2 linked regions of the Cricetulus griseus genome follow. The protein of the gene in region 1 purifies or fractionates together with the protein of each later gene. This does not show direct contact. Links are inferred from orthologs where the notes say so. Each region holds a gene or a part of one and is shown on either strand. Other genes may lie near its edges.

Region 1 (3,616 bases):
GTCTGCTATATTCCTGTGTCTTCTTGTATCACTACTCTCCCCACTTCCTCTTCTTTTTTTTATTAAAAAAAAACCAAAAACACAAAAAAGAAGTATGGGTGTTTGCCTGCAGTCTGTACACCGTGTATGTGCCTACTGCCTGTGGAGGCCAGAAGAAGGGGTTGGATCCCCTGGAACTGGAGTTAAAGGTGGCTGAGATCCAAGTACTCTGAACCATTGGCCTACTTCTCTAGCCTCACTACCTATGCTCTTTTGAGGCATGGTCTCTAACTAACTAAACTTGGGATTCATAAATTCACCTAGGCTTCCTAGCTTCAGGGATCCACTTGCCTTTGTTTCCACAGCACTGGGGTTACAGATATGCCTGATTTCTACACAGGTGCTGGGGATCCAAACTCAGGTCCTCATGTTTTGTAACAGGCACTTTAGCATCGAGGCAACTCCCAGACCTATGGTATCTCTAATGCTATTTATTCGTTATCGCTTTGTAGTGGAGCAGATCAAGCCCAGGGTCTTATAAATGCCAGGTAGGTGTTCAAATATATACCCAGGCCTTATATAGCTTTTCTTAGATATGATATTATTCCTGGTTTTCTCTATATCTCCTATTTAATAACCTCCTTAAAAATCATACATATATAAAAAGAATCTGTAATTAAGATTTTATTTCATTCATATCACATGTAACAAGTGCAAGTTAATGTACAAATACTGAACACAACGAAAAAGGGAAAAATAACAATAAAAAGCTTATTTAGCAGATTCATGCAAAGAAATGAATTGGACACTGCAGATGTCAGGGACCCTGTTTTACCTTGAATCATGACAAATGCAAAGGACTGATAATAAACTCCTACTATGGCACATCAAAGGAAGTCCTACATCAGAAAAACATTAAAGAGTTTATGGAAAGAGGTGGGACTCTCCCCAGAGTTCCGACAGCATGCTACTAAACTTCCTATTTTTAAAGCAGTCCTTGGACAAATGTCTAATCCTGGAATTAGAAAGTACATCAAAAGACTGACAAAATAATTTACCTTCCCCCTAGAAGTGCATGCTTACAAAAGAAACAGAGCCAGCTATGAATTTATAAATAACCCAGGGCTTTCATTTAAAGTGCATCCAGATGCTTAAAAATCAAGGCAAAATATTTCATAGGAAAAGGAATCTTTCCACATTGGAGGTTCCCAAATAATGGCTTTGGGAACCACTTCCTCGACTTGTGAGCATGGAGAATTTTGGGGTCTGCTGGTGTTAACAATGTCACACCAGGTCTGTGCAGTAACATCAATGCCCTGCTTCTCAGCTCACTCTGAGGAAATCCCCTGGGTCTGGAGGACCTATGACTGATGGGATCTCTTGAACGATTAGTGTTTCCATCAACAGAAAGAGTCCTTTTCTATAAAGCACCAGTTACTTCCATGTCATTTACAGAGATGCACACAATAATCTCCTAAATCAAGCTCCTGATGAACATCCCCTGGAATGTAACCGAATAATCCTCAGATACCCACTGGTGTAAACACATGGGCACCATGTTGTGCACAACTGATTCCGCCCAGATACACTACTTCATTCAAACCTAAGTAGGTTTATATATTTTATTTCTCAATTCTGTTCTTTTATATACATTTTTTTTGGTAATAACAGTAAAGATGCTGGTGAAAAGTAATTTGTTTAACAACTCATAATGCGTGCAAAAGTAAAAACATGGATTCAAAGAAAGATAGTATTTACAGTTCTTCAGTCCCAACAAATGATGACACACAGTTAGGCAATATCGTGACTCGCAAAGTTACACTTGGCTAATGCTGCAATTCCAAATATGGCACAGGGCGAACACGACTGACACTAGTCCCAGGCTCAACTCAGCCAGGTTTCAACGGATTTGGTTTAGGTTGAAATTCAGTTATATAAAAAGGTTTCTGAAAGTATTGAAAAAAAGAAAGTGTACATGAAAGAGAATCCAACAATGTTTACAAAATGCCGAAGTTCTTATTTTGCCCCCCATCCATAAATAATGAAGCCCCCATTTCCCCACCCTCCTCCCACCTCCAAAAGATTTACAAAGGTAAGTTTAGCTCAGTGAGCAGAACTGAAAGATGACCGTTGCTGGACAGCAGCTGGTGAGAAGCCCAGGCGTTTCCTAAGAATGTATATGCAGTCCGGAGGGACGGATGGAATCCCATAGCGCTGCTCTTGGGATCCTGGAGACTTCTCAGTCAGGAGCTAGAACCGTCCTTGTGCTTTGAATAAACATGATGAGCATTAAAGCGGAAGCTGATGGTACCCAAATTCACTGTCATCACAGTTCATTGTGGGAATTCTTCTCCGCCGCTTTAAACATCAGGATAGAATTGAAAATTTTGAGAGCTGGGCCCAGCTTAATGCTCATAATTTTCACAATGTCTGTCTGGGTCATAAGTAAAAACGCTTCTCCATCAATTTGCTGAAATAAAGGAAGGAAAAAACCAGACACAAAAGAATATGGATTAACCAGATGCATTGTTGTGGGGCTATCCAAAGCTTTATGCTGTACTATTACCTGACTTCACAACTATGCTAAGAAGACATACACCAGAGATCATGAACACAACATTCCCAATCTATGGGTCTCCACATACCCAACAAAGTAAAAGTCAATCGTCTGAAACACCTAACAGATTTAGCCTTCTACCGTGCAGGAAAATAGAGAGAGAACTTTTGTCAGCCATGGCCATAGTTAGCCTCCATAAGCAGAAGAGAAACACAAACAGTATGTGTGGAAGGACGTAAGGCCAGTGTTAAACATCATGGACTACAGGCTGTGTCTTCTGCTATTGGTGTAATTGTGTACATTCTCCTCTTCCTTGGCTCATTTTAAGATGAAAAGCTGAATTACAGAATAGGACACTTAGAAACTCACAGCCACAACATGACGAAAATGATTATTTGGGTTTAGTGCGGTGACAAATACACATACACACACACACACACACACACACACACACACACACACACACTTCAGCATTTAAGGAATTGGACGGTCTTAAGATAGATTAATTTCTTCTTCAAGTTCCCCATTTTGAACAACAACAACAACAACAAAAAGAAAGACACTGTGTTTTAAGTCTCAGAATAATTAGAAGCTTTGACCACAGTGAATGGCTTGATGGGGTTTAAACTGTATCTTCTGAAAATTCTTTTTTGTTTGTTCTGTTTTGAGATAAGGTTTCTCTTCATAGCCCTGGTTGTCTTGGAACTCATTATGTATCTAGGCTGGCCTTGAACTCACAGAGATCCACCTGCCTCTGCCTCTGGAATGCTGTGGTTAAACGTGTACACCACAACGCCCAGCTTCAAATTATTTAAAAAATTTTTTCTCCATTTTTATTTTATGTGTATTGGTGTTTTGCCTGCATGTATGACTGTGCACCACATGTGTGCACTACCTGTGAAGGACTGGAGATGGTATCTGATTCCCCTGGCACTGGAGTTATAGACAGTTGTGAGCCTCCATGTGCGTGCTGGAAATCAAGCCTGTGTACTCTGGAAGAGCAGTGCTGCTAACCACTGAGCCATCTTTGCAGCCCCTCCTTTAATTCTGTTGAATTCCTAAACCCTAGTTGTTCAGATG
Region 2 (4,273 bases), on another chromosome or scaffold:
TCGCACAAGTAAAATATAATATTTAAAATAAATAGAATTAGATTTTATGGTCTTCAGAGAAATGTTCCCTGTAGAGCAATAGGGTAATGTTTACAAGAGGGAGAAGAGGCAAAGTCAGAGGCCCACAGACTCTCTGCTAAGCTTTGTGTCAAATCATGACTTCGATAGGCAGGTAAAAAAATTCTTGGTTAAACTAAAATTGATTACTGGGTGGACTATAAGAAGGAATGAGATCTGTTGGGGGTGATTTAGCCTTATATAAGATTCAATTTATATATAGGTCTACATAGTTTAGTTTTATTTTATTTAAAATTTAAATGTATTATTTGTGTGTGTGTGTGTGTGTGTGTGTGTGTGTGTGTGTGTGTGTGTGTGTGTACTTGTGTGCACATGTGTATACTCAGAGCTTGAACTCAAGTCCTCAGGTTTGGTGGCAAGAACCTTTGCCCACTAAGCCATCTCATTCACTCTGAAGTTTTCTTCTTAAAGCTTAAATTTCTCCCTGGGTATTCAAGGAAATGTTGTCAATCTTTAATCATCAAGGAAGGGATCAAATGAGAAGAAACTGAAGACATTCTTGGTGATCTGAAGCAGTGTTTTATTGCAAACACAAAGCACTAACTCAACAAGGCATGGACAAATATCACTCAGCAAGTGTCTCTTTGAACAGAGATGTAGCAAGCCCACTTTTTCAAGTTCTGAAAGACAAGTACTCAAACCAGGGACCAAACACAGCACAGGGCATTTAAGAAAATATTACAGAATTATGGAGGAATATATATGTATATATATAAAAATATTCTGTGCTATTAACAAAGCTTTGGGATCTACTAACTCTTGGCAAATAGCTTCAGAATTACCATAAATACAAACCATAAAGTAAAAATCAAAAACAAACAAAACCCCCCACAGCCTCTAAATGCTTTCTTCAGCAACAAGGAACCAACATAAGCTGGAAATATTCTTACCCCCGTGACAATGAGTTGATCACAAGGTGTGTCCAGTGCAAAGCAAGTTTCTCTTTGCAGAGAGAGTTCTGCTCCTGAAGGGAGCTTGGTGCAAGTTTGATTCACACACAGCACAGCACAGCACAGCACAGCACAGCACAGCACAGCACAGCACAACCCTGTGAAACCTTAAGAAGGTCAAGTGGAGAACCCTCTACAAAAAAAAGAGGAGTTGGCAATTCCATCCACACAGCTAAGAGGCAGAGCAATTCAAGCACTCCCTCACTCTTCACCCGCCCCGCTGAGTTTTGTTTGTACTCATTTCTAAGTCTATAACCCAAATCCCTCATTTCACATCCACCCCCTTTTTAAGGAGTTGACAGAAAACCATCTACAATGAAGCAAAGAAAATTCTTGTGATTCCAAAGCCCCGAGGGGAGGGGTATCTCAGAGTCAATGATGACTCGGTTTGACAAGGACAACCATCCTGTGCACATTCTGGCTTTGCTCCTCCAGGCTGAGACAGGCCAGCCAATGGATTGCCTAGTCTATCCAATAGGATAACGCTTTGTTGGATCGTAATTCTTTACATACACACATGTAAATATTCTGTTCGTGAGGTTTGACAACTAGAAACTAAATTTCATCACCCTGTCTTTTGTTTTGAGGACTGAGACCTCAATTTCATTTTACTATGAAGAGTTGTTCTTTAAATGCTTGGTCTGAAGAGGTTTTACATGGTACTCATAGATTTTCAGAGCAGGCCCCAATTTTAACTGAAGTCCTGTCAACACGTCATTTCTCGTCATCAAGAGCAGGGATTTTCCATCAATTTCCTAGAACGGAAGCAGAGGGGAAAGTCAGTGTGTGAGTGAGGCAAGAAGCTCTTGGTACTGGAGATAAAGGGAAGAGTGAAGGCAGAAGTTACACCACTCGTCTCCAGCTAAAACCCACTGAAATAGTGTCAAGATGGAATCTCCTAGTGTATCTTCTTCCATCTTCTATTTCAAAACATCTTCTGTTTTGAGATTAAGTGCAATCTAGAGCTGATCTTGTTTTCAAGATCCTATCACAAATCTTAAGAAACTCAGGGGCAAGTTTAAAACAGTGTGTACCCACCTCAGGGATCAGAGCAGTTCCTTCTGAAAGGGACAAGGACATGTTCCATCCATAAAATGTATTAAAATGTTCTAGAATTCCCCATATACTTAAGTTTCCAAAGCACTCTATAAATTACAACAGGCAGAGATTATCATCCTTAATTTATAAGCAAAGCAAGGATCCAGCAAGACGTATACTGGCTTGACACAGCAAGAATTAGGAAAGGGGATGGAGTTGAAATCTTGTCTGTCCACAGCCTTTGCCCAGTTTTCTTCTGTCTCCCATCCCCCCTTTGAGAAAAACCAGGGCATTAAGGGTATTAGCATAGGGGCCAGCACTCTACTCAAAACCCTACTCCCAGCCCCCTCTGCTTAATGTCAGTTAAATGTTTGTTATCTAGATGGCCTGAGTCTAGAAGGTTTCTGGAAATCCTGCTAATTGTAATAGTAGGCAGTGGTAAGCATGGCTCACCCTTGGGAGAGTCTCTTCTGGTCCTCCCTCAACTTGGAAAACACTGTCTTTCACAACTAGGCTCCCTACCAAGCTTCCTCTCAACAGAGCAAGAACAAAGCTGTGGAGGTTAGGTCTCTGGAAGCTGCCAGTTCCTCTCCCTGGAGCTTTAGCGTTCATCCCTTGGACCCTTCGGGTGTTTTGGAAACTACAAAAGAGGATGCTAAAATGTGCTTCTCCCAAAAGAGATGAAAATTGTCTGAATGGAGAAGGTGCTTTGAATTTATGGAAAGGAAGCTCTGAGAATGCTATCTGTGACCCTGCTTTTGTTAGTGTGTACAGAAGAAACTATGTCTCCTAAGGCAGACCCAGCTCTTTAGAAGGCTTGGGTCGGTTGTGTTTAAGAGTTTTGTTCATCATTTTGCCTAAATACACCTGGACCAGCCTGGGACGATGAGACACTGTGGTGACCACATAAAACTGTGACCCCATTTTTACTCCATCCCCCAGGGAGGCCATTGCTCTCCACTCTCATGGACCTTGCCAGGCTGTGGAGAAAATGTGTTGAACTCTGAGAGTGTAGAGAAACAGTGCCAGGTCAAAGGGGCTACAGAATTTCCCACTCTGTGGCCCTTGCTCCTCCTTCTCCTGGGAGATGTGGGAACACGGCGTTTCCAACAGGATTCCACAAGGCCTTCCTGTATGTACTCCTTGAGCTACGCATGACACACTTTCCTTGTCATTCTCAGTCGCCCTGCTCTCCACAGCTCATTTTACTTGTCAGCCACCTATCATGAAACAGCAGAACAAGGAATCACTCCTAGCTGCCTCAGAATGTTTTCGGCTTTGGGAAACATTTATTGTCCAGCCACTAAAATGTCTCACGTTGATTTGTGAGACACATGTGACTGGTGAAAATGACAAACGCATATTTTGGCAAGCTTCTATTAATGATAAAAGGCCTCAGTTAAAAATTAAAATTAACAAGAAAGTTATTTCTGGTTTAATGGACACTGGAGCTGATGTGACTATTATCACTCAGAAATGTTGGCCTAAGAATTGGCCACTTAAAGAGGCCAATGTACAATTTTTAGGAATTGGAACTCTATCTAGAGTTCGACGGAGTGTTAACTCGATGGTTTGTATTGGACCGGAAGGACAAAAAGGAATATTGAAACCTTACGTAGCAGATATTGCTATAAATTTATGGGGTCGTGATTTATTACAACAGTGGAATACTCAAATTAACATCCCTCCAGTGTCAAATACGAATTCTAGACAATCGTGGGATAGTAGAAAAGATCGGGTAAGATGCCATAGAAAATGGTTACCAACTATCCGGGCTGTACAGACACTAAATACAAATGACAGGCCTTCAGAGGAACCAAAGGCCCTGCCATTAAAATGGCTTACAGACGAACCAGTCTGGATAGGGCAATGGCCGTTGACCTCTGAAAAGCTTGAGGCTCTAGAAAAGTTAGTACAGAAACAGCTAGAGGCTGATCACATAGAGCAATCTACCAGCCCTTAGAATTCTCCTGTATTTGTCATCAAGAAGAAGTCAGGTAACTGGAGAATGCTGACAGACCTGAGAGCCATAAATAAGGTAATTCAGCCTATGGGCGCTCTGCAGCCTGGAATGCCATTGCCTTCCTTAATACCTAAAGGATGGCCGATCATAGTAATTGACCTTAAAGACTGCTTTTTCACTATACCATTACAAGAAAGCGATAGAGAAAAGTTTACATTTACGGTGCCAACTCTTAATAACTCAC

What was found. The genes of interacting proteins can lie anywhere in the genome.
Region 2: the proteins of L3mbtl3 (region 1) and Samd13 purify together in Homo sapiens (affinity purification with mass spectrometry; 3 studies listed by BioGRID and IntAct, counting the BioPlex papers as one, with this or other methods). This does not show direct contact. The link is inferred for Cricetulus griseus from reciprocal best matches to the Homo sapiens genes L3MBTL3 and SAMD13.

What each region holds. Positions count from the first base shown.
Region 1 is NC_048595.1:245,307,511-245,311,126, forward strand, and holds the end of L3mbtl3 (lethal(3)malignant brain tumor-like protein 3), read right to left. Parts: intron 2,450-3,616; coding exon 2,306-2,449; 3' UTR 649-2,305; downstream 1-648. UniProt on the Homo sapiens protein: Is a negative regulator of Notch target genes expression, required for RBPJ-mediated transcriptional repression. It recruits KDM1A to Notch-responsive elements and promotes KDM1A-mediated H3K4me demethylation.
Region 2 is NW_023276806.1:12,519,321-12,523,593, reverse strand, and holds the end of Samd13 (sterile alpha motif domain-containing protein 13), read right to left. Parts: intron 1,784-4,273; coding exon 1,640-1,783; 3' UTR 578-1,639; downstream 1-577. Other genes in the region: dnaJ homolog subfamily B member 6, read right to left, coding at 1,756-1,783.